Arabidopsis thaliana: one gene and its partners. The protein of the gene in region 1 interacts with the protein of each later gene in a pairwise test. Each region holds a gene or a part of one and is shown in the gene's direction. Other genes may lie near its edges.

Region 1 (7,886 bases):
GGTACAAAGGAAAAGGTTTGGCCAACAAAATCAAGAACCACAAAGAGAGAGAGAGAGAGGAAACACACAGACAAAACATATGAAAGAATGATTAAGATAACTGCCACAAATATAACTGCAAAATAACATACTCCTTAAGAAAATTAGTGGGGCCTTCTTTGTTATGGAAGAATGTGCAAATCTTTTTATATGGTTAAGTATATTAGTATTATTATATCAAAATTCATTTTTGACTATATATAGGTGATTGTGTCGAAATTCACGTAAGATCTTTGTAACATTTTTTCACACTAGTTAATTTTACATGTATTATAGATTCGCTGCAAAAAAAAAAAAAAAAAAAAAAAGAAAATAGAAAAATTTCTGTTTTTTCACACTAGGCCGATTTGATTGATCAAAACCGATTTTAAAAGCTTAAACTAATAAATCGATTTCATTCACCAATTTATTAAAATTAGATCGTTTTGGAGGTTCAAGAATATCTGGTCGCTGTTTAAGACGATATTTTGAATCTTGAACCGTTGAAACTATATATACTAGGTATATTTACTGTATGTTGTGAAAGGGTTTACTATCACATGGCTATTATATAAGACCGTACTAACATATGCAAATATTATATGTGGATCAAAGTACCACAAATTTTGAGTGAACCAAAAACAAAAGGTTAGAGATAGAAAAATATGCATGTAAAAAATAATAAGAGATGAAAGAAATATTAATGGGAGATGGGTGGGAAATGAATAGATTGGTGTCTTCGTCACTTTTACTTTTTTTTTTTTTTATTGTTTGTTTGATAGTACCAAGAGATTCTCTATTCTATTCTTTCGTGATGGTTTATTTTAGGGTATATTACGTGACCTGTAGTTCATCCTCTCCAACTCTCAAACCCACAAATTATTCACTATACATATATCCAAAGATTATTTATTCAAAGATATGACTAAAAATCTCTATACACGTGTGTATGTAATAGAAAGGTGCAAGGATTTTGGTGTGGCACCACCTTCAAGACTTTTTTTTTATCAAGACCTAACTCTTACCACTTTGAAAGCAGCTTATCTTATTTCTTTAGATAAAACAATTGATAAGCGAGTGCTTTAAACTTCACAAAACTACAATCTACTTTTTATTCGATAAAACAAAAGATTTTATTAGTCTTTTTCATTAGGGTCCCAAATGATTAATATGTTCACGATCACGAAATTTCTTCTTGCGTCCCGTAAGCATTTATATTAATCAAACAAAAAGGAAATTTGTTGCTTCCTACAATGGGAAGTGGGAACCTTTGCCATCTTCATAAATGTTTTAAATCTTTTTTTTTTCTTTCTAATGTGTGTTTCATAAACACCAGCGACTTTATTGAAAAGAGGAACACGTAAATTGTATTCTCAAAGAACAATTTTTTTAGGAAGAGTAACATTTGTTTTCCTTATCTTAATATAAGCAACGAAATCAATCGTGCATATAAAAGTGAAATGCTATTTTGAATTTTCTAAACTTGACTAGCAAATTTTCACTAAAAAATAAAATTAAAAAGTAACGATAAAGTAGTTGTCGTATAGTCTACTCCACATGAATAAAATAATAAAGTAAATCAATAGAATGTAAATCTCTTAATTAATCATACTTATTATATAATCACAGTGGCAAAGTGGAATAAAAAAAAAAGAGGAGAATTGGATCCCGTCGGATTCTATATTTAAAGATCGCTAAACATCTCAAATCTGCCACACGTGGTCATACTTAATAGCAGCCATTAACGAAGTAATAAATTAGTCGATAATAATGTTTAACCAACATCGTATTTCTAGATCCATGAATTAGTTGGAGTAATTAACATCATTGTTTCTTAATTACGTTTAACAAGCATAGAGAAAACAATATTGTCACATATGTTAGTATAAGTTATCATAATCATTTATAAAAGCTTGTTATTAATTTTTTATATTGAAATTACTACTTTGTGTCTAATCGGAAAATGATGGAGTACTAAAATTTGAAGGACTAAAATACGTCATTATTGTTAGAGAAAACAATTACGCATAAGTGTGATTTTTTGGAAGTGGAAAAGTTAGTATGTCCCTCTATATGATATGATGGAAGTTGTTGTTCTTTTTGTGTGGATAAACATCATTTTTCCGTGACGTAATTTTTAATTTCAGTATTCATTTTATTATTCTCACTTCTTATTATCCCTTTTATATTCGCATAATTGTTTCTAAGGATTTCTATTCCCTTTTTGTTATTTTATAGGTACACTATCTTATGGATGGTGTCAACAAGCATGTACACTATCTTCCCACTACCACATATTGTCACAGAATGTTTGGTACGCGTGCTTCTATATACTTTTAATAGTACATAACAACAACAAATGAATTATGTAAGACAATTTGTTAAACTGATGTCAAAAACGGAAATACTACAAAAGACAGTATAATTGAATTACGGGTTTAATGTGTTGACAAAATATAATAAATGTAGCTCATAAAACTTCAATAATTCACTTAAATAAATTCTAATGAACCTCATAACGAATTAGATATTTTAACTAATCTTATCATGGTTTTACGAATTAATTATAATTTTTTTTTTTATTCTTTGAACAATTGAACTAAACAATATTAAACCGGACTTTAAGTTAAAACTACTAAAAACATTATTAGTTTATCAATAGAAATGATCATAGCAATTGTATACATTATAATGTGTAATTTTAAAATCCTAAAGCATATATAGTATATATCCCTTTGATTTTCATAGAAAAAAAGTAGAAAAAAATAACTATTGGGCCGATCTATAACTATTGGGCCGGTGGGTCCAACAACTAAGAACAGTAGATATTGTGTCGATTGAAGTTTTGAGATGCAAAACGTGTGCTGTTTTGAGAACACAAAAACAGCATAAACAAACGAGACCCGCAACTATAACATTCCGTAAATACCCTCATTCTCCCATCATATTTTCAAAAACTACCCTTCCCCCTATTTCCATGGCCCTTCTCTCAGTTTTCCCGCGAGAAATCCTCTCCTTCTTCCATAATCATCAAAAACAAAATGCAAAAACCCAAAAAAACAAAAAATCACACGACGCAACCACCTAGCCTCTCTGTCCATCAATCTCAATCTCTCTCTGTGTTAATGCGGAATCCGATTTAACACCGGAATCCGCCATGGAAGATGAATAAAATCCGGTCTCTCCGCTGCCTCCTCCCGGAGACCATAACCTCCGCCTCCACCGCCGCCTCAAATCGAGGATCTGACGGTAGCCAATTCAGCGTCCTATGGCGGCATCAGATCCTGGACCCGGACAGCAACATCGTCACCTATTGGAACCACGTCTTTCTCATTACCTCAATCCTCGCTCTCTTCCTCGATCCTTTCTATTTCTACGTCCCTTACGTCGGTGGTCCGGCGTGTCTCTCCATCGACATCAGCCTCGCCGCTACTGTCACTTTCTTCCGTACAGTCGCCGATATCTTCCACCTCTTGCACATTTTCATGAAATTCAGAACTGCGTTCGTCGCGAGGAGTTCTCGTGTTTTTGGTCGCGGTGAGCTTGTTATGGATTCTAGAGAGATTGCTATGAGATACTTGAAGACAGATTTCCTCATTGATGTCGCCGCCATGCTTCCCCTTCCTCAGGTTCTTAAGATTTTGCTCTTATTTTGAATGTGAAAGCAATGATATGGATTACGATTAGCTAAGATCAATGTTCAAAAATCGTTAGGCGGTAGCTAGAAGATTAAAGAACAGAGATATTTTGGGAGCCTCATGCTTTGTTTCTGACTATCTTTTGATCTCAGCTTGTTATTTGGCTAGTAATTCCAGCGGCCACAAATGGAACTGCTAATCATGCCAATAGCACTCTCGCACTTATCGTTCTTGTTCAATACATTCCAAGATCATTCATCATATTCCCACTCAACCAAAGGATTATCAAAACAACCGGGTTTATCGCCAAGACTGCTTGGGCAGGAGCTGCATACAACCTCCTATTGTACATCCTTGCTAGTCACGTAAGTTTTCTTTATCTTGTGTGTTTTTTCAAATCTTTAGGTTTCTTCAGTTTTAAGTTGCTAAGAATCTCTATTTGTGGGCAGGTGTTAGGAGCAATGTGGTATCTGTCATCAATCGGGCGGCAGTTTTCGTGCTGGTCCAACGTATGCAAGAAAGACAACGCTTTGAGAGTTTTGGATTGTCTTCCTAGCTTCTTGGATTGCAAGAGTTTAGAACAACCAGAGCGCCAGTATTGGCAGAACGTTACTCAGGTCCTTTCTCATTGTGATGCTACAAGCAGCACTACCAATTTCAAATTCGGAATGTTTGCTGAAGCCTTTACCACTCAAGTTGCTACAACAGATTTTGTGTCCAAGTACTTGTATTGTCTTTGGTGGGGTTTAAGAAATCTAAGGTATGACAACCTTTTATCTAACCAGTATCTGCTTAAATTGTCCTCCTTTGGTTTTAATAAAGGTTTTGTTTCACAGTTCTTATGGACAGAATATAACCACAAGTGTATACCTTGGCGAGACCTTGTTCTGTATAACAATTTGTATTTTTGGGTTGATTCTCTTCACACTCCTGATTGGTAACATGCAAGTAAGATTCAGAGCTTATGCATCACTCTGCAAAACTTTTCAATACAGAGACATTTTTTTGTCTTTCTAACAATAGACTTCATGATTTTTAATTTGGTGGAAAGTCTTCTCTGCAATCGATGTCAGTAAGAGTTGAGGAATGGAGAGTTAAGAGAAGAGACACTGAAGAATGGATGAGACATCGTCAACTACCTCCAGAGCTTCAAGAACGTGTCCGAAGATTTGTCCAATACAAATGGCTTGCAACCAGAGGTGTCGATGAAGAATCAATCCTCCATTCATTACCTACAGATTTACGCCGTGAAATCCAACGTCATCTTTGTCTCTCCCTTGTTCGCCGGGTACATACATCAACTCAGTCATCAAAAACTGTTATGGATTTGATTGTTTTTCAATTCAGAAGTCACATTGTTGTGGTAAGTGCAGGTCCCGTTCTTCTCTCAAATGGATGATCAACTTCTTGATGCTATATGCGGATGCCTTGTCTCATCTTTAAGCACGGCCGGGACATACATATTCCGTGAAGGTGATCCGGTGAATGAGATGCTATTTGTGATCCGAGGACAAATAGAGAGCTCAACAACAAATGGAGGAAGATCTGGTTTCTTCAACTCCACTACTCTACGACCTGGCGATTTCTGTGGGGAAGAACTTCTTACATGGGCCTTAATGCCAAACTCTACACTCAATCTTCCGTCTTCAACACGAAGCGTCCGTGCCCTCTCTGAAGTAGAAGCCTTTGCATTAAGCGCAGAGGATCTTAAGTTTGTTGCTCATCAGTTCAAACGTCTTCAAAGCAAAAAGCTTCAACACGCTTTCAGGTACTACTCACATCAATGGAGAGCATGGGGAGCATGTTTTGTCCAATCTGCATGGAGAAGATACAAGCGAAGAAAGCTTGCGAAAGAGCTCAGCCTTCACGAGAGTAGCGGATACTATTACCCGGATGAAACAGGTTACAATGAAGAAGACGAAGAAACTAGAGAGTATTACTATGGAAGTGACGAGGAAGGCGGATCAATGGACAACACAAATCTGGGAGCAACGATCTTAGCATCTAAATTTGCGGCGAACACGAGAAGAGGAACAAATCAAAAGGCTTCAAGTAGTAGTACTGGTAAGAAAGATGGATCTTCCACCAGTTTGAAGATGCCTCAACTATTCAAACCAGATGAGCCTGATTTCTCTATAGATAAAGAAGACGTTTAAAGTGTAGTCATTATGGGCAAAAAACTTTTGTGTGAACTGTTTGGTTTTAGATGGTAAATAGTTAGGAAACTCCCTTAATTATTTCAACTTGTAATTTTTCTTTTCTTTTCGTTTCGGTTTGAGGATGTTAGATATAGAAAACGAGTGTAGAGTAAAAATACATTGTTCTTAAACTGTCTCAATGTTATATAGTCTGATTTCTTCTCATAGTAGATACTACTTTTGCATACAAACTCATTTTTAAGTCTTTCAGAAGAACACTAAGGTGTTGATAGCTTCTTCGGATTGACCAGCCAATATTAACCTCAAAGATAGCAAAAATCTCATAAAGCAACCACTGAATGCAATTGAAATTTTTTGAAACTATAAGACCAAAACCAAGAATTAGAACTCCAAATTAGTCATTCATATCCAATTGAGAAGAATGGACCAACTTTTCAACAAACCTAACATATTTAATGACTAAAATTAGGTACGAAGCCGTTTTGTTATCCAATCCTTAATCTCTCTAAGCATCAGAACTTGACAACTTATTAACACCGTCTGGCTCTCTACTCTTACAAAGCTCTTCCAGAAGCGAATCCAAACTCTTCCAAGACGAACCAGTCCCTTGAGCCATAGCTTTTTTCGCCATTTTCGCATACTCTTTTACATTCTTCATCGTTGTCTTCCCCATCTCTCCCTCCATCAATTGTTTAACCTAAATAGTACAAATAATAAATACAATCAAGGGGTACTCTACAGTCAAACGGAAAAAGAGGCTTCCTTCTTGTTAATTTGTTAGTCAAAAAGCAAAGCCATGATTACCATATTCAAAACATTTTATTCTAATATATGCATGACACCAATTAAAACAAAAGATGGAAACATGAAAGGGTATATATACGGTACCTTTCGACTAAGTTCTTCTCTTGTCACGAATCCTTTCACACTTACATCTTCTGTTTCGATTCTTACTCCGATCTTTAGCTCCTCCACTACCAACTTCGCATTGAGTGGCTGCTCTGCCATCATTGGCCAAGCGAGTAGTGGAACCCCAGCGCAAATACTCTCTTGCGCCGAGTTCCATCCACAATGACTCAAAAACCCTTTGACACTTTTATGTGACAATATCTCCCATTGGTCTACCCAATCTCTCACAATCATCCCATGCTCTTTCACTCTCTTTTCGAACCCTAATCCTCCAGTTACTTCTTCCAAGTCCTTTCTCGTGACCCACAAGAAATTGACCTTTTTAAAACAATCAAGACCACGTAAATTCACAAAACAATACTTTTCTTTATATATATATATATAGACTAAAAAATGTTTTATGGGTTGATACCAAAAACAAATAAAAGGACATGCATGGAATTTGGTGGAATAATAAAAGTGATTGGTCAACTGTATTAATATGAGGTTTTAAGTTGGCATTAATCCATTCTTTAACGTACCTTGGAATCTTCCAACCCTAATGCTATTTCCTTGAGCTGCTCGTTCGATATCTCAGCCTGCGTTCCAAACGCCACATACATAACCGGACATCTTTCCTCTAGTTTCCGGTCCAACCAATGAATCCAATCCGGTTTATCACTCTCCGGTTTTGGAGGATTTACCAAACACAAAGGCCCAACACACCACGGTTTTGGTTCATCGTTATCACGGAGCCGGTAGTCAACGAACGTTGACTCGAGCTCGTAAAAGCTGTTCACTATAACTCCACGGCTTTTCTTGGTGGACATAAGATGGTCAATGAGTAGCTCGAACGCTGGATCCGATTGATCCGGTTCGGTCAAAACCGGATCGAACTCACACTTCTTAACACATATCCATGGAAAATCCGGTACAGTAACCGGTTCAGTATCAGATTTAACACTTTCCGGTTTGGTAAAGAGCTCGTGTACCGAAATGGCGGAGCACATAGCCGATGCGTAGGAGTTCATGCCGTAGAAGGCAAGTCTCGGGATCTCAAATTTAGCGGCGGATTCCGATGTCCACCATAAGAATCCATCGGAGACCATGAAAGAAACTTTCTCAAGATTCTTGAGTTCTGCTTCGAAGAAAGGCTGGAGAGATTTGGTTGCGCGCGTGAAGG
Region 2 (7,194 bases), on another chromosome or scaffold:
AATATGAAATTTACCCTTTTGATGTAGAAACAAGGAGTCAAAGAACGAAGGGATTTAAGATGCTCGTTCATTTGCCTTCTTCGATTCCTTTCAACAGCGATGTGAGACATGATACTTAATTGATCAAGATTCTCTTCTGGAGTTCCTATATTGATCTATCAACGAAGAAGATGATCTTATGTTTTCACTTTGTTCGACACATTCTTCAAAACAAAGTCGTATTTATACAGCCGCAACAACAAGTGATAATTAGGGTTTAGAATTTCTTTTCAAGGTTCATAAATGCACTATGTCGCTGTCTCGTGACATTCTTTTGTCTCTTCTTGATTTTTCTCTTTCTCTCTCTTATTACTATCGATATGTATTAGAACAACGTAAAGAAAAAGGTATGCATACACAAAGATACGTCACGTTTGTGAAGTTGGATACATTTACATTTACATTCACTGCGTGAGGTCTTTTATGAATTTCAATATCGTATTTTCATTTAGAGTGCATGCCTTTGCACCACCTTCTTTTACTTCTAGTTTAATTTCTACACTTGTGCCACTTCTTTGTTCTTAATTACCGCGTGTCCTCACAAGAAAAAATGGATTTCTTTTACTCTTTATTAACAGATAATACACTGATACATACACAAAGTAAAAAAACATTGAATCGGACATATACTGGTGGAAAGGTTTAGTTTGTATTGAGATGTTTTACAGTTTTCATGGATCGATGAAGGAAAATAAGTACATCAAAAGCCGTTTTTTTTGGCGTAACATATGTTTTTTACTACTTACTATTAGCAAACATATTGGGTAGTATCTGATTGGAAATCTACGAAATTTCGAAGTGATGAAATGATTATGTGATTTCGCATGTTTCTATATGACATCGTTTTTGTGTAATTATGTTTCACATCTTCTATCCTATTGACTTTGTAAGATAAATGACAACATTGACAAGTAACAAAATATAAATAGTTACGACATAGTTTGTAGTTGAATTACAACTTTTTGTTTTCCTTAATCACTATGTCATTTAATACCACAAATTTCTCATTCGTGATGATTCCATCATTTTCCTTGATCACTAGTCGGAACCAATTTCCATTGGTTAATGGATAACTTTTTGCATGAAATATAGGTTCTACAAGAAAACATAAATTGATATAACCTTTGGAGCAAAGATAAAGTTCAGTTGTTCAGCTACCTGGACGGCTCATTAAGATTCCTCCCGAGAAGTATTCTTAAATTATATTATTTATTTTTAATAAAGAGATATTCGTAAAATTTCGGCTCTGTTTTGCAAAGTTAACAATATCTCAATTCATATTACAAACTTCATTAAATAAGGTTTAACCTAACCAAAAAAATTGCTATAGTGACAATATTTTTTCTATGAAACAAACCCACTTGGATAACACTTCTATTTGTGGTTTTGTTTGGACAAACGTTTATTTTTATGGTTCATATATGCATATCCACATATACATTATCTCCGAAGTCCCAAAACTGTGGAAGCAGCTGGAATGAAAATGTTGGTGACAAATGTTTGTAGCCGCAAATGTTAGGCTACAATACGTATAAGACATGCAAGGTGCATGCCCCATTTAATTACGAGTAAAGAAATCTAACTCCTACTTCGATATTCAATTTGTTCATGGTCTATCACGTTATATACAATATTGATCGACAAGGCAATGAAACAAGAAAAAAAAAAAAAAAAACTCACGTTCGATCAAGATATCGGTTAACATTCAATGCAAGGGTCGAAAACCAAACCAACCAATTTTCAGTCTGGTTTGGGTATGGGATTGGTTTGGTTAAATTCACACTGATCCTCCTAGAAAATATATTCATTGTAGTAACAGAGGAAATGTAAATTCTGCGTTTTCATTCATTTCAATTGGCTAATGGACATGGCAAAGTGCTCACCATCAATAGTTCACAAGAAAAAATCCTTCACAGCACGAAACCAATCAACTTTTTTGGCCAACATGGGGCTGAAGACACTTGCCGGAATTTCATGAGAGTTCATCATGCCACTATCTTGAATCTTCTTATCAGCTGAAGCAATCATGCATTACCTTGGATGGATTTTTCAAATTGCTGGAGCTGCGAAATGAAACCGGGATTAGGATATGCCTGATGTCGTCGGCTCCTTACAAGTTCCATAGCTTTAGAGAATCCCATTCCATGCTTTTTCATCAGGTAAGCCACCACTATAGTCACACTTCAAAGAAAAACTCAAACCAATCAAATTGTGTAAGTATATATATAACAGAACGACACAATAAGCAAATTACAGGTTCAAGAAAAACTCTTAATTTGTCCACAACAAAATGTAATCTGTTCACTACCATAACTCCTACTAATACCAGAATCAGCAAGCTATAAAAGAATCAAAGCAAACTACAAGATTCATATACACTTTTGCCAATCTGAGTCTCTGTAGTTTCCTATGGTTACTCAGTTGGCAATTTATATACACTTTTTTGATATGGTTACATAATTTGCAATTGGTTCACATTGATGATTCTTAAACACTAAATCTAATAACTGAATGTATGAGATTTAAGGGCAAAAGAATCAAAACCTCCTAGACATTCCCATGAAGCAATGAACCAAAACACCACCACCAGATTGAATAGCTTGGTCGATGAAGCTATAACACTCATCGAAATATACTGTCAAATCGGTCTCGGATCTATCAACCACTACACGATGAAGAACAAGTTTATAAAATCTCTAAACGAAAAATTTCAAAAACAGGCTAAGGATTGAAGAAAAAAAACCCAACCTTCAATGACTTTGTAGACAAAATCATCAGGATAAGGAGGAGCCAAGGCCACAGCAACGGTTAAGACATGAGTGATATTAGAGCTTTTGAGAAAATCCTTGTTATTCGCTTCAGCTACTGATCCTATGAACAATCCCTGAGAATAAACTCATCCAACAAACGATTTTTCGGAATTAAAGACTCCAAAACCTGAGAAATTCCAAGTGTGAAATTAGACGGATAGATAGAGAAGAGAAACGAAGAAAACCTGTTGGATCTCGCTGAGATCTTTGCCTCCTTCGAGTAGCTTCTGGGAATTAGCTTCTCCGACTCCGAAGAGATCAACCACTTTCTCCATCGCTCTCTGCTTCTTTTTTCAAAATTCCACTTGTACAGACGAAAACTCTTAATCAGAAAGATAAATAACCCTAGATTCGTAATTAATATTTAATAGTTTAGTTCGGATAGATGAATCAATAAGCACCAGTGGTCTAGTGGTAGAATAGAACCCTGCCACGGTACAGACCCGGGTTCGATTCCCGGCTGGTGCAACAATTTGTTTGTTTTTTTAAGTGAAAAGATTTAAGAGAGTCAACCTTTTTACACATGAAATGAAGATGATTAAAATAAATAGATGACTTAGAAATCACCAAATTAACATTAAGAAATATTGGTAGGTAGGAAGTGAAAATTGAACACAAGAAAAGTGTTGAGCACCCTCTTCTCCTTTCAGACTGCTTAACCAAAGGAATATAGCAGCACTCTACTAATTCTTCTTTTTGTTGAAATAAAATAATTACTCTTTAATTTCCATCTTCTTTGCGTTTTTCTCTCTATCTCTCTTTTTTTGTTCCATTAGATCATTCATAAAGCGGATCAAGCCACCTTGATTGTGACTTTCCTCAGTTCTTGATCACTATATCTTGAAGGAATTAAGAAGATGAATGGTGAGGCACGGTCAAGAGTAGTCGACCAAGAAGCTGGCTCAACTCCATCTACTTTGAGAGATGAAGATCATCCCTCGAGACAAAGGCTTTTCGGATGTCTCCCTTATGATATAGATCTCAATCCCCTACGCATTGTAAGCTTCATATATACACAAAATCATAGAATCAACAAGATTAATATCTCACAATACTTTTGTGTTAAACTAAAGAATTGGCTATGTCCATAATTACAAATAATTTTTTTGAAAATATTAAAATGTTTGTATAGAAATAAAATGCTAATTAATAGTATCTCCGGACTAATGTTTAGGTAATGGCGGAATTGGTGGGGACATTCATTCTAATGTTCAGTGTGTGTGGGGTCATAAGCAGTACCCAATTATCCGGCGGCCACGTGGGATTGCTAGAGTACGCCGTCACCGCTGGATTATCTGTGGTGGTCGTAGTTTACTCCATCGGACACATCTCTGGCGCCCATCTTAACCCTTCCATCACCATTGCTTTCGCTGTCTTTGGCGGATTCCCGTGGTCTCAGGTATAATGCATCCATCTCAACACGGCGTTTGACCAACTAAGAATTGTAGTTGAATTATCTTGGTCTTGATCGTTTGTTTTTGTTTATCTTAGCGTTTAGACCAAGATCAAATAATGTGTTTTTTTCATTTATCAACGAAGATGAGACGAGAAAACTTAATCTTTTGTTTGGACGTTTACAAATTATTTTTTATGAAAACTGAAAATTCTTTTTTGGAATGTTGTGTCACATGCCAGGTTCCGTTGTATATAACGGCGCAAACATTGGGGGCAACGGCGGCAACATTAGTTGGGGTGTCAGTGTACGGAGTAAACGCTGACATTATGGCAACAAAACCTGCTTTAAGCTGCGTTTCTGCATTTTTCGTTGAACTCATAGCTACGAGCATCGTCGTGTTTCTCGCCTCCGCGTTGCATTGTGGTCCTCATCAAAATGTAAGTGACCAAATCGATCTTCGTTACTCCTCTAGTCCGCTTGTTATAAAAAAATATCTTCTAATAAGAATAACACCTAAAATGTGACATTTACATGCTATTTCTTAATTATGAAATTTTATTTCTTTCCAAAGAGAAAATAAAAAAAATCAAACTCTCTGATTAGAAAACTTATATGCATTTAATTTTATATGTTATTTTGTGCAGTTGGGTAATTTGACGGGGTTCGTGATTGGAACAGTCATTTCCCTTGGAGTGCTTATTACCGGGTACTTAACTTAAAACTCCATTATCACCGTAAAGTATTGGAAAATAGTTATTTCATGTGATCGTATAATGCTAACGTTTTGTGGAATATGGTATGGTTAGACCGATTTCAGGAGGATCGATGAACCCAGCTCGATCACTTGGACCGGCGGTGGTGGCATGGGATTTTGAAGACTTATGGATTTACATGACAGCTCCGGTGATCGGAGCCATAATCGGAGTTTTGACATACAGATCAATTAGCCTAAAAACCAGGCCTTGCCCTTCTCCAGTTTCCCCTTCCGTTTCTTCACTTTTACGTTAATCACTTCAAAACCTAATATCTATTATACAAATAAACACTTTTGATTTTTTTTCTTGGTTAAGGTTTTTAAGTTTTTGTCATTACGTCATTAGATGCCGTGATGCGAAAACAGAGAGCTACTTATCGGATTGAAGATATAGAGGGTAAAGCAAATGAAAACAGGGGGCATTTTGTTCTTTTTACACAATGAAATGAACGCAATTAAAAATCTTTAGTCACATATATTTTATAGTGAAGCGAAATTCGTATGAATATTCAAATCCTTTCATTAGGTTATAAGAACCCACTAAAATACTCATATTACTAAACGATACCAACAAACATAAATTAGAGAAATGAAATTAAATATCTTAAATTATTACCCCAACTAAAAATTTAGTGGCCACAACCTCTACGACTTGGACCAGAAGCTAACTTTCGACCTGACCACAAATTCGCCTTCTTCTTCTTCTCCTCGTAGTTTCCAAACTCATTTCTTGAATCTTCTCCGACTACATTCATTCTCGTTGCCTTCTCTGCAACCCTGTTACAACCATGGTAACTAGCCATGGCAATGGAACAAGTTAAGTAAGCGACCAAGAGAAACACAACTTTAAGAAGCTTCTTCATCTTCATGTTCTTAGTGTCGACTACTACTTAAACTATAGATTCTCAACATTGATTCGTATTCGTGTATATATGCATGTTTATAGATTTTTGGTCTTTTGTTCTATGAGAGCTAATGCATAATTAGTTAAACGGTTCAAATGTTTATTGACTGAGTGAGTAAACAGTCTACGAATAGTAAGGTTTAGGTTGCTACTTTGTATTTAATGCTATTTCAGAACTTCTAATTTAAGAATTAAAGTAAATTTCATTAAATCATGATATGTCTGAGTCTGGTTGCGGTCTTGCAGAAATTTAAACCATGTGTTTTAGATCAAATATGATTCATTCCAACTAAATGTATTCAGATTTAGATGGTGCTCTCGAGAAATTGTTCGATCATTAGAAGAAACTAAATCATTTAGATGCGAGGATACTCACTAACTTGAGACTTGAGTAAAAGTGTTCTAAATTTTCCTTTTGAAAAGTACCAGAAGATTGTATATTATAATCTTTTTTGTCAAAATCGCAAATTCTAAAGCAAACCTTTAAAGTTGTTGATTTCGTAATGCAAAACTCAAACGCAATTGCAAGCACTTTAATTGATCAAATCAAAGCTGAACAACGAGATCCGTTTGCTACGTTGTCACTACTTTTAAAGTTCAAGCAAGTCAATACAAGAAGAAAAAAGTTAACAGAAATTTTTGATTAAGCAAAGTATTTACGATGCTCTCTGCATATATTATATAAAGCACATTAAAATCGAATATATATTTGAGCTTGACCATTACGCAATATATTCTCACTAGCTTTCTTTCTTCGTTTGTCATGAGATTCATTGTCCCCAAGAAAAAATGACATGTGATGTGTTACAAAACCTTAAGACAAGTGGCATGGACGGCTCCCGAGTCTAATTTCGAGCTTCTTCAATTTAATCATGTGTTTTCGTAAAAATCATTAGAAGATTCTTTCTCATCTGAAGAATCAATCATTTATGAATTATGCATAAACTATATAGGTTCAGCCAGGGTGTTTTCGAAAAGCTATACTCGAATAAGGTGTGGAACTGTGGACTAAAAAAACACACGATACGGTAGTCCGATCCAAATAATTGCAATTCGTTGAGTTATAGCCTATTCTAATACATTTTGCAGCTAGTAATAATATAATATAATAAAACTTTTTCATAAGTTAGTGACACCAAAAAGCCAAACGTGACGAAGCTGATAAGGATAAGTAGATGATAACTGATAAAGATAGGAGTTGTATAGAGGAAAAAATATTTGATGCTTAACGCCATTGATTATTACATTTTTGGCATGCTAGTGGTCCCTACACCTTTTAGTTTTCTCATAT
Region 3 (6,724 bases), on another chromosome or scaffold:
ACAGGGTGCAAAGATGGTTGTTGCAGGGACGGAGGGTTTCCCTAATCAAGCGTCTAGCTTGATGAAAGTTAAAGGAATAGGACAGTACACAGCCGGAGCAATTGCCTCAATTGCTTTCAATGAGGTGAGTCAGTTTCATTTTTTTCAGTCATCAATGTAAGACATCTAAGTAATTATCTTTACGTCTTTTGACACTTATTATGAACCAGGCAGTACCTGTTGTTGATGGAAATGTGATAAGAGTGCTTGCTAGATTAAAAGCCATCTCAGCTAATCCAAAAGACCGACTTACGGCCAGGAATTTCTGGTGAAATAACTTTTGTATTTGCTCGAATGTTTCGCTATTGAGACTATACTAAAAGAGAGGATAAAGAAATCATTTATCTTTGTCAGGAAACTAGCTGCTCAGCTAGTGGATCCTTCACGCCCTGGAGATTTCAACCAATCTCTGATGGAGCTTGGTGCTACACTATGCACTGTATCAAAGCCAAGTTGCTCTTCTTGTCCTGTTTCCAGCCAATGTCGTGCATTTTCACTTTCCGAGGAAAACAGAACGATTTCCGTGACAGATTATCCTACAAAAGTAATCAAGGCCAAGCCAAGGCACGACTTTTGTTGCGTTTGTGTTTTGGAGATACATAATCTGGAGAGGAACCAATCAGGAGGTAGATTTGTTCTTGTAAAAAGACCCGAACAAGGTCTGCTTGCTGGTCTTTGGGAGTTCCCATCTGTTATATTAAATGAGGAAGCTGATTCGGCAACAAGGAGGAACGCAATAAACGTCTACCTTAAGGAAGCATTTCGTTTTCATGTAGAACTCAAGAAAGCATGCACTATAGTTTCAAGAGAAGAACTCGGAGAATTCGTCCACATATTCACTCACATTCGTCGAAAAGTTTATGTGGAGCTATTAGTTGTACAACTTACAGGTTTGACCACTATCTATCTCTTTCTTTCTAGGTCTCTTTTTTACATATAGTTAGAGAAACTAACAAGAAGTTACAGGCGGAACCGAAGATCTGTTCAAAGGTCAGGCAAAGGACACTCTAACATGGAAGTGTGTGAGCAGTGATGTTCTTTCTACCTTGGGACTGACATCAGCTGTTAGAAAGGTACCTCCTTTTCGTCTTCAACATATTAAAAGACTATCCTTGGATGTGATGGTTGAGAAGGAACAAATTTTGGAGTGCAGGTGTATTCAATGGTTGAAGCACACAAGCAAGGCTTATCTGTTTCTCATGTCTCATCAAATAGAACAGCCATATCGAGGAAACGAAAATTCTCATGATCTCCTTCTCACACTTTTCTTCATGTTGCTTAGCTTCTATAGTTCTTGTCTAGCATTGGGAATCAAATTTGGTGATCTTGGTTTGAAATTGAACAGCTTAGTTTCTACTGAGAAAAGTGACGGTGATGTGTGATCCCTCCAGAGTCCAGGGGTTGATTATGTATTTTGGGCTAACAAATATTAAAAAAATGGATTGTTAAGGCCCAACTTAAGCCCAGAAATAAATTCAGTCAGTGGATTCATATAATCGCGTGGACTCTTTCTTCCAAATGATTTACATAAAGAGTCAAAAGTCCTTGAACTTCACGTACGAAGACTTGTCAAAAGGCATAATTAAAACGGACAACGAAACTATTCACTTATTAAGCTTGGCCGCCAAGTTATAATGTCACTTTCCAAAAAAGAGACGTGTACAAAGAAGATTCAGTGACTTTCTTCACCATCCCCTTATATATACATTATCTGACATGTATAGTAAGCTCAAATTAACTTAAGAACTCACACTTAAGTTTTAAACCTCCAAGGATGTCTCTCTTCACGCTCTTCTTCGCTTGCTTTGTTCCAAAATCTGGTTCAAGGATTAACACAACCGACAGTAATTTGGAAGTCTTGTCTTTGAAGAAACCCAAAAGAAAAACCGAGTCCATAAGAACTCCTACTATCGTCGTCTCTTATTTTCCCGTAGGCTCCAACCTTTCTCGTCTATAGGAACTAGGAAGTAGGAAGGATAAAAGTGAAATTCTGTAGTTATGATCACAACCAAGAAAATATATGAGGCTGATACTATTGATCCAGTCCAATCTTGTTTATCTATGTAATAGACCAATGAAAGATTCTGCTTGTGGTCGACACTTTTTTGTAATGATGATTTTGTTTTGGGTAAGTTTATGTATATACAGTGGCACAGAGACAGAATAACTATTTATTGATATAAATATTATTTTTTAGTCAAAACTTTCTTACTTAATTGAAAATGAAATAAAATATTTAGCAGCAAATTATATCTTATAAACTCACATGCTTACTCATATCTTGTAATCGTTTTATCATTTGCTTCGTTTTATGCAGTGTTAATAACATTTGCAACGGCAAATCGTCTTTTGAGTAAAACATGTATTGATTCTAACGATTATAGTACAAACAGAAAATATGTTTACTCAATTGCTATATCAGGGTCAGTTGCGGAGTGGTTTGTTTAAAAACCACTCTACCACTATAAATATTTGTAAAATGATGTCATTAATTTTTTTTATAATTATGCTTTACAAGCTTTAGTTTTGGACCGGCCTGACTTTAGGCCAAGATTCAAATTAATAGAAAACCTCGCACTTAAGTTTTACAACTCCAAACATGTCTCTCTTCACACCCTTCTTGGCTTGCTTTGTCCAAAAATCTGATTCACGGGTTAACACAACCGACGCTAACTTGAAAATCTTGCCTTTCAAGAAACCGAAAAGCAAAACCAAGTCTCCAAGAGCTCCCACGATCGTCGTCTCTTACTTTCCAATAGGATCCAACCTTTCCCGTTTATAGAAATACGAAGATGAAAGTTAAATTTTGTAGGTATTTAAATTATACCTAAAATTGGTAAAAATAAAAATATACTATACTGTTACAGTTAAATTTTGGTCATGTCTACGTATGTACCTAGAGCCGAATAAAATATTGAACCGGGCCTTAATATTTCCTAAACACTAATGTGTTTCTCTCGTCGACACTTACTTTCAAATGTGACCCAGACTCAAGCTATGTAGAGCCCACTTACCTGCTGCTGCGCTGGAAATATGCGAGACAGCTTTGTTCATATAATCTATTTTATATATCTTTCATTATTATAAGACTCCTCTCCAAATGCTACCACACAATTCCTCTATCAAAGCCGCCCAATCCTCCACCCAAAAATGGCTTATCTCCGGCGAGCAGCCACCGCATTGGTTCTCATTTTCCAGCTCCATCTCTTTCTCTCTCTCTCAAATGCACATAACATAACCCGAATCTTGGCCAAAGACCCTGATTTCTCCACTTTCAACCACTATCTCTCAGCGACTCATCTCGCCGACGAGATCAACCGCCGGCAAACAATCACCGTCTTGGCCGTCGATAACTCAGCAATGTCCTCCATCCTCTCTAACGGATACTCACTCTACCAAATCCGCAACATTCTCTCTCTCCACGTCCTGGTCGATTACTTCGGCACCAAGAAACTTCACCAGATCACCGACGGCTCCACCTCCACTGCCTCCATGTTTCAATCCACCGGATCCGCCACCGGAACTTCTGGATACATCAACATCACCGATATAAAAGGCGGTAAAGTCGCTTTTGGTGTCCAAGACGACGATAGCAAGCTCACAGCTCACTACGTCAAATCCGTCTTTGAAAAGCCTTACAACATCTCTGTTCTTCACATCAGCCAAGTCTTAACCTCGCCGGAAGCAGAAGCTCCCACGGCGAGTCCCAGCGACCTCATCCTCACCACAATCCTCGAAAAACAAGGGTGCAAAGCTTTCTCCGACATCTTGAAGTCAACCGGCGCCGACAAAACGTTCCAAGATACCGTAGACGGAGGCTTAACGGTGTTCTGTCCCTCCGACAGCGCTGTCGGTAAGTTCATGCCGAAATTCAAATCCCTTTCTCCGGCGAACAAGACTGCGTTAGTGCTTTACCACGGCATGCCGGTTTACCAGTCGTTACAAATGCTTAGATCAGGTAACGGCGCCGTTAACACGTTAGCGACGGAAGGTAACAACAAGTTTGATTTCACCGTTCAAAATGACGGAGAAGACGTGACGCTGGAGACGGACGTTGTGACGGCGAAGGTAATGGGGACGTTAAAGGATCAAGAGCCATTGATAGTTTACAAGATCGATAAAGTGTTGTTGCCTAGAGAAATCTACAAGGCCGTTAAGACGTCCGCTCCAGCTCCTAAGTCGAGTAAGAAAAAGCCTAAGAACGCGGAGGCTGACGCCGACGGACCTAGCGCCGATGCTCCGTCAGATGATGATGTTGAGGTGGCTGACGATAAAAACGGCGCCGTATCAGCGATGATTACTCGAACAAGTAATGTCGTAACGGCCATTGTCGGGCTCTGTTTCGGAGTTTGGCTTATGTGAAGTGACGTGGCATTTACCTCGCTTTGGGAATCTTGTTTTCCTTTTTCTTTGTGATCTGTCGGTTTAATTTATTTTACATATTCTTTTTTTTGTTCACGTTGATACTTGGTGTGGAGATTTGGAATAATTAATTGTTCCACTTGTGTTGGATCTGATATGTTTTATTCTAAAAAAATGTGATGATCATTCAAAAGAGTGATTGGTACGTTGGAATCACGTGTATCTATAAAGATAGTGTCGGTGGTAGTCGAAATAGTGTGAGGCTGTGAGCTGTAAGATGCATGTTACATCCTTTGTGGTCGCTTGGATTTGACCCATGATGATGCTCCATCGTAACTACACTAATATGAAATATAGTATACTTTCAATTACAGAGGAAATCAGAATAGGGACAAAGATTATAATACGAGATAAAATGAGTGTTAGTTCAAACTTCCGATTATAATGTCGTAATATCTTTTAACCATATGTGTTGCATTGCACATAGTAATAAGGGCTTTAAGAGGGATTAAATGTTTTTCTATCTCTAGGTTGGGCATCTCCAACAAAAATTGTATTATCAGCTCCTACCTAATGTGGTGATATTCTTATTAGATATACTAGATCTTTCTTGTTCCATCAATCCATAATTAATAGTGTTTTGGACATGTAAGTTTAGTTAATCTCTAATCCGGTTTACAAATTGCGGTTTAGGTGTAATTAAAAAAAACAATCATGATTTAACTTATTAAATAAAAATCGGATGTATTTAAGAAATTTAGTGTGAGATAAAAATTGATTTTGTTAGTACCTACTTGTAAGAAATGTAATTATTTTATAACAAATGTAATTATTTTGAAGGATACTAAAATAGACATTTTATTGCTTTAAGTAATGTGCAAAACTTCAAAACATTTAATGCCACAACTATTGAACGAAGCTTTATTCACCCTTCTATTCACCTCCTTTTGCATTAACCAATAAAAACATGTCATGTCAAATCTTACTTAAATTACATAATAAATTAAAGCTATAATTATAAATCTAAACCGATATATAATCTCGTTTAATTACAAAATCTAAACCCTAATTCTCCTTTGTAAACCCAAACCTTCATTTAAACTCATTTAATCGTAAGAAAAAACTAAACCCTAATCGTATTTTCAAAACCCAAACCGACATTTAACCTCGTTTAATTGTAAAATCTAAATCTGTTTATAAACCTAAACCAATATTTAATTGGTTAATTGTAAAATCTAAACCCTAATCGTACTTTCTAAACCCAAACCGATATTTAACCTCGTTTAATCATAAAATCTAAACCCTAACCTTTTCTAATAAATCCAAACCGATACATAATTTCGTTTTAGTGGCAAATTAGATTTTATAATAAAATTAAATTCTTTTTATTATTGTTAAATGTCAGATTTTAATTGATTAAAATAGAAGAGGTGAATATAAGGGGGTGAAGGGTGAACCCAAGTATTTTTAGCAACTATTCCATTTTAAATTTTGATGTTTCCATGTTACAATAAATTTTCTATTTCTGGAAAAATAAATACACTATAATTTTAATATGGGGCCTATAAAGTTTTTTTGGGGCTAAAGCCCATATATGCCTTATCTTTTTCACGTTAGGCACACAGTACAAACGAGTCGCAAAAATTGGTGTACATATACAAAGTAATGTGAACCTTTTTAATGGCATTAACACTTTCTTGGATTCACACCATTTACCAGTGTAGTAAATGGTCAAGAGACGATACAGCTGAGAACTTAAAACCGGTTACGAGAAGATATTTTGGAAGAATAAACCAAGTGTATGGTAACACTCTTAAGCCTCATATCTTTAAAAAGCACGTAAGCGTTGGGAGAATCAAACCATCACTGGAAATAGACTAGAAGTCGATGGCAAGTTTTACAGTGGCTCATAGAGATGGTATAAACTTAAATATTTAGACGCAATTTTGTAGAATCGGAATAATATAGAAGAAAGTTTCCTGTTTTGTACACACTGGACACACACATGCCGAGATCAAACAGAATCAGATGAGAATGTTTTCAGAGAGAAGCAGAGGCTTGGTCACGCGATACTTTAAGGCGCTTGGCATGATCCGCATTGCAGTAGATAAAGCTCTCTTTACCAGATGATGTGGTAGTTGGCACAATGGCGAATCCCAAGTATTCTTCCTCACACTTCTTTTGGCAAATGTTAGCCATGAACTTGAACATCTCGTTCTTCTTGTTCCATGGTTGGTCTACATACTCTTGGATCGGCATCCACTGTAATACAATATACCAGTTTCGGTTAAATTTGAAATATATGTCAGTAACTTTTAACATT
Region 4 (8,644 bases), on another chromosome or scaffold:
AGAGGAAAGGCCAAGGATGAAAGAAGTAGCTGCAAAGCTAGAAGCCTTGAGGGTCGAAAAAACCAAACATAAGTGGTCGGATCAGTACCCTGAGGAGAATGAACACTTGATTGGTGGTCACATCTTGTCAGCACAAGGCGAAACCAGTAGCAGCATTGGCTATGACAGCATCAAGAATGTAGCAATATTGGACATTGAAACTGGCCGCTGATATTACAAATTCACATGTATTTCTTTTGTTTGTAAGAAAAAAAAAACTACCTCTTTGTTGCTTCATCAATAATGCTTTGCTTCATTAATAATGATTTGAAAGAATTTTTATAAATCATCAATAACCATGTTTGTAATTCCCATTGGTATACTAACCAGTAGCCAATCTGGTTATAGGCAAACTTAGAAACTCTTTTGCAAAATAGCAGATTACCAATATCAGTTCATAAATCTTATTCCATATGACATTGATGTTATCAAAAACAACTAGATAAGAAACACTAGAATCTTTACAAAAAGAAATGCATAACATATAGAGAAAGTTATGATCATGAACCTGGTTCCTAAATTCTTCATCTCCTGTATCTCTTCATCGTCAATTCTGCTCCTTTAACCATATTGTAAGCTTCGTAAAGTGGCGGAGGAGGTTTCTTGAGCATGATTGTTATCCTCACAACCTCAAACTCTTTGTTCAACCCCATCAAAAACTCGTAACGCTGCTCCTTCTCTCTCGCTTCTTTAGCTAGTTTCGTACTCTCGCAATTGCAACCACCGCACTTACACTCAGGTACAGGAGCATACTCCGACAACTCCATCCAAACTTTACTCAGTTTCCCAAAATACTCCTCAACAGAATCACCACCTTGCCTCAACGTCGCGAGCCTCCGACGAAGCTGGTAGATCTTCAAATCGACGCAAGGAACGAATCTAAGTCTGAGATTTTCCCACGCTTGATGAGCAGTCTTCGCGTACATCACAGACTTTACAAGCTCTTCGCTCATCAAATTCATCAGCCAATACTTAACTATTGTGTCGCATCGTTTCCATGGATGATAGAGCGGCGAGGAAGGTTCTGGCTGCGGGAGAGTACTGTCAATGAAACCGATTTTGTTCGTGAGTTCGAGAAAAGAGCGAAATCGAAATTTCCAGATGACGTAGTTGTCTTCGGCTTCGCTGAGTTTTTCGATAGAGAAATCGGAGGGTTGATTAATATCTGGAGGGAGATAATACGGTGAATCGGGGTCGGATAATGGAGATACGCTCTTGATAGTTTCCGCCATTGTCGTCACTGAGCTCTGCTTCTAAAACTCTAGGGCTTGCCCTTTTTTATCCCTTTCGATTTTGACTAACATTAAACAAATCATTTTCAAAATGAGAAAGAGAAAAAAAAAAAAAAAAAAAGATAAAGAGTTGGGCTTAATGGGCCTTGAGTTTCCCTCCGGAGCCCAACAAAGCCCCTAGGGAAGCTAGCGTCGATTGCAAGAAACGCATATGCTTCTTTCCAACGTTTTGATTTGTGGATACTAGAGAGGATGTCAATAAACATGATTGGTCCAAGCAAACAGTTGATCTTCCCTTCCCTTTGGTTGATATGAGTTCCCTGGCACCAACAAGGTTGGTGAAATCATTTCCCCCAAAATGTATACCACCCATTCTTCAACTTTCCTTCTTCATAATGGACTCATACACGATATGTGCGTCTCTATCTCACCCGAACCTTGTTTTTCTTCAAGGACCTTAATGTGTAAGAGCTTGACAGACTCTGTTTTTTTCTTCTTTGAATCAATATATAAGCGTTGGCTTTTCAACATCAAGCAAACTAGTTTTTTATCTTACCATTGATGATTTGCATTTTCTGACATGTGTTATTTCTTTTTATTGTTGTTCATATTTTGAGTGTTTTGTTTGTTTTTGCTCAGAAGGTATTATATGCACAAGATTTCATTGAACTGTATGCTGCAGATAATCATCGAGAAGCTCGTTTATCTATGAGGATTAAGCCATTGTGGAAGTTTTGGAAAACCTAATCTTAACTATCATTTGTCTTAACTACCAATAGGTCTAATTCTAAAAGACAGTGGAAATAAAAAAGCAGGGAAGAGAAGGGTTAGGTGAAGGTGGTCTACATAATTTGCCTGGAAATCAAGAAAAGTAAGAGAAGGATATTGGAGCGGACCATAGCACATGAAGATGAAACATTCTAATGGGGCTCCCATTTTAAAAGGGTCCCACAGAAATTTTATTGTAATTAAATATACATATATATATATATTGATTTTTAATAGGAGAAATAGTTAGTTTTATACATATTAATCTTAAATAATAGTGTGATCCAAAATATTTATAAATCTAACATACAATTAAATAAATAATTCAGAGTTTTGTTTAAATTGGTTTCTATTTACTCTATAGTTTTAAAGACAAAAGTACTTTGTTTTCGTAATTTAAATGGCCCGAATTTCATTGGTCCGGCTCTGTAAAATAATATTTACTATTGCAGATTCCTGCAATTATTGGGAAAATGGGGACTAGTCAACGGAAGCAAGTCAAGAGAACATATCAAGAATGGAGTGTGTTTTCTTAGCTTTAAGAAGCAGATGCTACGGAGAGATGAGAGAAAACTCAAAGAGAAACAAATTTAGTGAGACAAAGAGAGAAGGAGAAGATGAAGTTGCAAGAGGGTCTGATCTTGGTGGCATAATGCTTTATGACTCAAAATGTCTAAATGTGGGGAAAAAAACAAGTCGTAATAAAAGCATCATAAGAAAACAGAGCATGTTGTGATCAGGATTCAGGAGTCTCAATTCCTATATCGTCATTTTAAAAGGCAATTTTCATATTTTGAGCGTGAAATTAACTGTTAAGAAAAAGAGTAAATTTGCCTTGTAATATCGAGAAAAGAAGAGAGGACCGAGACTGAAGTTGACTTAAGAGGGTCTTCATAATTGAAGATTCCTTGCAAGTTGCAACTGTCTTAATCTTTGAATAGTAAGAAAATAAGTGTCACTGTTAACAAAATTAAATCGGTTTCCCCACTAACGAAAAAAATATCAAGAATGACGAGAAGACCAAGACCTATAGTTGTCACTGTTTAAATACTATACAGGAATATGCAGCAAACGTCCTCTTCACGCCTCATGGGTTACATTGGTTGTGTAGTTGAATTTTCGTCTTCTTGCATTATATGACAAAATGGGAGCGGGCCTGCGAAAATGAGTGAAGAGAACATTTCATATACAGTTGTTTCTAATAAGAAAAAGGAGATTAGCGAAAACTCAAAACAGGAACAAAGTTAAAAGAGTGAGAGAGAAAGAAAGAGAGAAGATGAAGGTACAGGAGGGTTTGTTCGTGGTGGCTGTTTTCTACCTTGCTTATACGCAGCTAGTCAAGGGGCAACCTCGCAAGGAGTGCCAAACTAGATGTGGCAATGTCGCAGTTGAGTACCCTTTTGGTACTTCTCCAGGTTGTTACTATCCCGGAGATGAAAGTTTCAATCTTACTTGCAACGAGCAAGAGAAGCTCTTCTTTGGCAACATGCCAGTCATCAACATGTCTCTCAGCGGCCAGCTTCGTGTTCGGCTAGTTAGATCCAGAGTTTGCTACGATAGTCAAGGAAAACAGACTGACTACATTGCCCAGCGGACCACCCTGGGTAATTTCACTCTCTCTGAACTTAACAGATTTACTGTAGTAGGTTGTAACAGTTACGCATTTCTCCGCACATCTGGAGTTGAAAAATACTCAACTGGATGCATATCAATATGTGATTCTGCCACAACGAAAAACGGATCATGTTCTGGTGAAGGTTGCTGCCAGATCCCTGTCCCTAGAGGATACTCTTTTGTCAGAGTAAAACCACATAGCTTTCACAACCATCCTACTGTGCATCTGTTTAATCCTTGCACCTACGCCTTTCTCGTTGAAGATGGTATGTTTGACTTCCATGCTTTGGAAGATCTCAACAATCTGCGAAATGTTACTACGTTCCCTGTAGTACTAGATTGGTCTATCGGAGACAAGACTTGCAAACAAGTAGAATACAGGGGCGTGTGTGGTGGTAACAGCACATGTTTCGATTCTACTGGTGGAACCGGGTATAACTGCAAATGTTTAGAAGGTTTTGAGGGGAATCCATACCTTCCAAACGGTTGTCAAGGTACTTTAACTTGTTTTCTGTTTTATCACTTCTTTTAATCGTTTACTTCATACATGCTCTTTTTCCTTGGCCAGACATCAATGAATGTATTAGTAGTAGACATAACTGTTCGGAGCATAGTACCTGTGAAAACACGAAGGGGAGCTTCAACTGTAACTGCCCATCTGGTTACCGCAAAGATTCCCTTAATAGCTGTACTCGTAAAGTCAGGCCTGAATACTTTAGATGGACTCAAATTTTTCTTGGTATGTTCCCCTCACTGGTTTCGGATACTTTCCTTTTAAAAAACTAGCTCTAATTACCTAGGTGTGATGTGATCAGGAACCACCATCGGCTTCTCGGTTATCATGCTTGGGATTAGCTGTCTACAACAGAAAATTAAGCACCGGAAGAACACAGAGCTCCGACAAAAATTCTTCGAGCAAAATGGTGGAGGCATGTTGATACAGCGAGTCTCGGGAGCAGGGCCATCAAATGTTGATGTCAAAATCTTCACTGAGAAAGGAATGAAGGAAGCAACTAATGGTTACCATGAGAGCAGAATCCTGGGTCAGGGAGGCCAAGGAACAGTGTACAAAGGGATATTGCCGGACAACTCCATAGTTGCTATAAAGAAAGCTCGGCTTGGAAACCGTAGCCAAGTAGAGCAGTTCATCAACGAAGTGCTAGTGCTTTCACAAATCAACCATAGGAACGTGGTCAAGGTCTTGGGGTGTTGTTTAGAGACAGAAGTCCCCTTGTTGGTCTATGAGTTCATTAACAGTGGTACCCTTTTCGATCACTTGCACGGTTCCTTGTATGATTCTTCACTTACATGGGAGCACCGTCTGAGGATAGCAACAGAAGTAGCAGGAAGTCTTGCATATCTTCACTCTTCTGCTTCTATTCCAATCATCCACCGAGATATCAAGACTGCTAATATTCTCCTGGATAAAAACTTAACTGCAAAAGTAGCTGACTTTGGTGCATCAAGATTGATACCGATGGATAAAGAGCAGCTCACAACAATAGTGCAAGGCACTCTAGGTTACCTAGACCCAGAATATTACAACACAGGGTTGTTAAACGAAAAGAGCGATGTTTATAGTTTTGGGGTCGTCCTAATGGAACTGCTCTCAGGTCAAAAGGCATTGTGTTTCGAAAGACCACATTGCCCAAAAAATCTTGTGAGTTGTTTTGCTTCTGCCACAAAGAATAATAGGTTCCATGAAATTATTGATGGGCAAGTGATGAATGAGGATAACCAGAGAGAGATCCAGGAAGCTGCAAGAATTGCTGCAGAGTGTACAAGGCTAATGGGAGAGGAAAGGCCAAGGATGAAAGAAGTAGCTGCAGAGTTAGAGGCCTTGAGAGTTAAAACAACTAAATATAAGTGGTCGGATCAGTATCGTGAGACAGGGGAGATTGAACACTTGCTCGGCGTTCAAATCTTGTCAGCACAAGGCGAAACCAGTAGCAGCATTGGCTATGACAGCATCAGAAATGTAACAACATTGGACATTGAAGCTGGCCGTTGATATTAATGCTCTGACAAAATCACATGTATATCTTTTGTTTGTAAAAAAAGAAAGTCATTTCCTTGTTGCTTCATCAATAATGCTTTGACAGATTTGTTTGTACATCATCAATAATCATGTTCATATTTTCCTTTACTTGGTATACTAACCAGTAACCGATCTGGTTATTGGCAAATTTAAAACTCTTGTGTTAAATTTTAGTTCATAAAAATCTAATTCCATATGAGATTGATAATATACAGATATAGCTTCAAACACATCTCAATAAGAAACACTAGAATCCCAAAAAAAAACATAGGCAAAGAAGAGAAAAGTTATGATCATAAACCTGCTTCCTAAATTCTTCATCTACTGTACCACTTCATCATCGATTCTGCATCTTTGACCATAGCGAAAGCTTCGTGAAGTGACGGAGGAGGTTTCTGGAACATGATTTTTGTCGTCACAGCCTCGAAGCCTTGGTTCAACTTCAACCCCATCAAAAACTCGTAACGCTGCTCCTTCTCTCTCGCCTCTTCAGCTCGTTTAGTACACTCGCAATTGCAACCACCGCATTTACACTCCGGTATAGGAGCATACTCCGACAACTCCATCCAAACTTTACTCAATTTCCCAAAATACTCCTCAACAGAGTCACCACCTTGCCTGAGCGTCGCGAGTCTCCGACGAAGCTGATAAATCTTCAAATCAACACAAGGAACGAATACACGTCTGAGATCTTCCCACATTTTATGAGCAGTCTCCGCGTACATAACAGATTCTAGAAGCTTATCGGTCATCGAATTCATCAGCCAATACATAACCATTGCGTTGCATTGTTCCCATGGCTGATAGAGCGGAGAGAAAGGGTCTGGCTTCGGGAGAGTACCGTCGATAAACCCGAATTTTTTCGTGACTCGGAGGAAAGAGCGAAATCGAATTTTCCAGGCGACGTAGTTGTCTTCGTCTTTGCTGAGTTTTTGGATAGAGAAATCGGAGGGATGATGAATATCGGGAGGGAGATAATACGGTGAATCGGGGTCTGATGTTGGAGATACGCTCTTGATAGTTTCCGCCATTGTCGTCGCTGCTCTGAGAGTCTCTCTCTGCTTCCAAATCCTAGGGCTTGCTTTGTATCCCTTTCGATTTTGACTTTTTTAGTCTCAAATAAAGAAATAATTTTCCAAAATAAGAAAAGTCGCAATTTTTTGTAAACAGTTGGGCTTAATGGGCCTTGTATTTCCCCTCCCTAGCCCAAAGTTTCAGGGATTACCTTACCCATTAAAGGACCCCGCGCATCATTGGGATATGATCTTGTTGGTCATTAATCAAAGCGTTGAACCTGGTGTCTTCACATGACCTGTATCTTGGTTTTGGAGGACAAGAAACATCAAAAACACGTAATCAGTTTACCAAAGCTCCTTATTACCGTGTAACCAAGGGACTTTGCATCTATGGTTCCATCTATTATGGTGCTTGGGCCCCTAGACTAAGAATGGATCCGGTGAATGGTGATTGTGTGTTTTCATGTTAGATATGAGAGGCTAAGTTTTATCAAAGTGCCTAGGGATGTTTTGGTTCGGGAGTGTGAATCAATATTGATAGAATACAAAGGGAAGTTAGCTTCCATTGCTAGAAACCCTTTAAGCTTCTCTAGTTTTGATTTGTGGATACTAGAGAATGTCAAGAAACATGTTGGTCCAAGCAAACATTTGAGCTTCCTTTCCCTTTGGTCAATATGACTTCTCCTGGCACCAACAAGGCTGGTGAAATCATTTTTGCCCCAAAATCTCTCCCACCCATTCTTCAACCCTTCTTCATTTTCTAGTACAATGTAGGAAAAAAGACATCAGAAGAGTTAGGCTCCATGGAATTGCAGACGAGAAAGAGTTTTGTCGCCGATGTGGACTCAATGACTCATACACGATATCTGCGTCTCTATCTCACCCGAACATGTTGAAACTATTGCCTCTTTGTAATGTGTTTTTCTTTAAGGACCTTAATGTAGGAGAAAGTGGGGACAAGTCAACGGAACCAAGTCAAGAGAACATCTCAAGAATGGAGTGTGTTTTCTTATATTTAAGAAGCAGATGCTTTGGAGAGATGAGAGAAACCAATTTAGAGAGAAAAAGAGAAGGAGAATATGAAGTTTGCGATTGAGGGTACAGGAAAGGCCAAGGATGAACGAAGTAGCTGCAGAGTTAGAGACCTTGAAAGTCAAAACAATTAAAACATAATCAGTATCCTGAGACAAGGGAGATTGAACACTTGCTCGGTGTTCGAATATTATCAACACAGGGAGATACCAGTAGCCGTAGTTATGACAGCATCAAGAATATTGGACATCGGAGCTCTGACAAATTCACACATGTCTTTTGTTTGTAAAACATGAATCCTACTTCTTTGTAATTGCCTCATCAAATTATGTATTGAGAGAATATTTTGTGCATCATCTATAGTTGTTATACTAACCAGTAGTCAAATAACCAAATTTAGAGCTCTTATGCAAAATTTCAGTTGACGAATCTAATTCCATATGACATTGATAATGTACCAATATGGATTCAAAAAACACGAAAACACTTCAAAAAGAAACACTATAAAAGCATAAAAAGTTAAAATCACGGACCTGCAAATTCCTAAATTCTTCCTCCCATTTTCCACTTCATCATCGCTTCTGAATACACAACCATCTCATAAGCTTGGTAAACAGACGGAGGAATCTTCTTGTGCATGACTTTCATTTTCACATAGTCAAACTCTTTGTTCAAACCCATCAGAAACGCGTAACGCTGCTCTTTCTCTCTCGCCTCTGTAGCTCGTTTCTCACTCTCGCAATCGCAACCACCGCACTTACACTCCTGCACAGGATCATACGCCTTCAACTCCAGCCAAGCCTTACTCAATTTCCCAAAATACTCCGCCACAGAGTCACCACCTTGCCTCAGCGTCGCGAGTCTCTGACGAAGCTCGTAGATCTTAAAATCAATACATGGAACGA

Evidence for each region.
Region 2: the proteins of CNGC18 (region 1) and NIP7;1 interact in a protein complementation assay, tested with the Arabidopsis thaliana proteins (one large-scale study listed by BioGRID).
Region 3: the proteins of CNGC18 (region 1) and FLA2 interact in a protein complementation assay, tested with the Arabidopsis thaliana proteins (one large-scale study listed by BioGRID).
Region 4: the proteins of CNGC18 (region 1) and WAK2 interact in a protein complementation assay, tested with the Arabidopsis thaliana proteins (one large-scale study listed by BioGRID).

The regions. Positions count from the first base shown.
Region 1 is NC_003076.8:4,806,194-4,814,079, reverse strand, and holds CNGC18 (cyclic nucleotide-gated channel 18), read left to right. Parts: upstream 1-2,986; 5' UTR 2,987-3,182; coding exon 3,183-3,647; intron 3,648-3,808; coding exon 3,809-4,021; intron 4,022-4,105; coding exon 4,106-4,416; intron 4,417-4,492; coding exon 4,493-4,604; intron 4,605-4,707; coding exon 4,708-4,944; intron 4,945-5,029; coding exon 5,030-5,812; 3' UTR 5,813-5,989; downstream 5,990-7,886. Other genes in the region: AT5G14860 (UDP-Glycosyltransferase superfamily protein), read right to left, coding at 6,321-6,512, 6,704-7,042, 7,246-7,886. UniProt on the Arabidopsis thaliana protein: Cyclic nucleotide-gated ion channel required for directional pollen tube growth into the transmitting tract. Acts as a Ca(2+)-permeable divalent cation-selective channel inhibited by either lanthanum or gadolinium.
Region 2 is NC_003074.8:1,839,447-1,846,640, reverse strand, and holds NIP7;1 (NOD26-like intrinsic protein 7;1), read left to right. Parts: upstream 1-3,444; 5' UTR 3,445-3,706; coding exon 3,707-3,847; intron 3,848-3,929; exon of another isoform or gene 3,930-4,023; coding exon 4,024-4,248; intron 4,249-4,345; exon of another isoform or gene 4,346-4,361; coding exon of another isoform or gene 4,362-4,484; coding exon 4,485-4,682; intron 4,683-4,889; coding exon 4,890-4,951; intron 4,952-5,051; coding exon 5,052-5,253; 3' UTR 5,254-5,473; downstream 5,474-7,194. Other genes in the region: MUTE (basic helix-loop-helix (bHLH) DNA-binding superfamily protein), read right to left, coding at 15-110; MKP2 (MAPK phosphatase 2), read right to left, coding at 2,064-2,220, 2,584-2,704, 2,788-2,923, 3,035-3,124; AT3G06090 (uncharacterized protein), read right to left, coding at 5,629-5,868. UniProt on the Arabidopsis thaliana protein: Aquaporins facilitate the transport of water and small neutral solutes across cell membranes.
Region 3 is NC_003075.7:7,489,275-7,495,998, reverse strand, and holds FLA2 (FASCICLIN-like arabinogalactan 2), read left to right. Parts: upstream 1-2,918; 5' UTR 2,919-3,189; coding exon 3,190-4,401; 3' UTR 4,402-4,772; downstream 4,773-6,724. Other genes in the region: AT4G12740 (HhH-GPD base excision DNA repair family protein), read left to right, coding at 5-124, 210-307, 394-929, 1,006-1,421; AT4G12735 (uncharacterized protein), read left to right, coding at 1,814-1,996; AT4G12731 (uncharacterized protein), read left to right, coding at 2,639-2,821; NUDT7 (MutT/nudix family protein), read right to left, coding at 6,442-6,663. UniProt on the Arabidopsis thaliana protein: May be a cell surface adhesion protein.
Region 4 is NC_003070.9:7,441,682-7,450,325, forward strand, and holds WAK2 (wall-associated kinase 2), read left to right. Parts: upstream 1-3,067; 5' UTR 3,068-3,315; coding exon 3,316-4,147; intron 4,148-4,221; coding exon 4,222-4,392; intron 4,393-4,468; coding exon 4,469-5,664; 3' UTR 5,665-6,008; coding exon of another isoform or gene 6,009-6,722; 3' UTR 6,723-6,802; downstream 6,803-8,644. Other genes in the region: WAK1 (cell wall-associated kinase), read left to right, coding at 1-211; AT1G21280 (Copia-like polyprotein/retrotransposon), read right to left, coding at 6,009-6,722. UniProt on the Arabidopsis thaliana protein: Serine/threonine-protein kinase that may function as a signaling receptor of extracellular matrix component. Binding to pectin may have significance in the control of cell expansion, morphogenesis and development.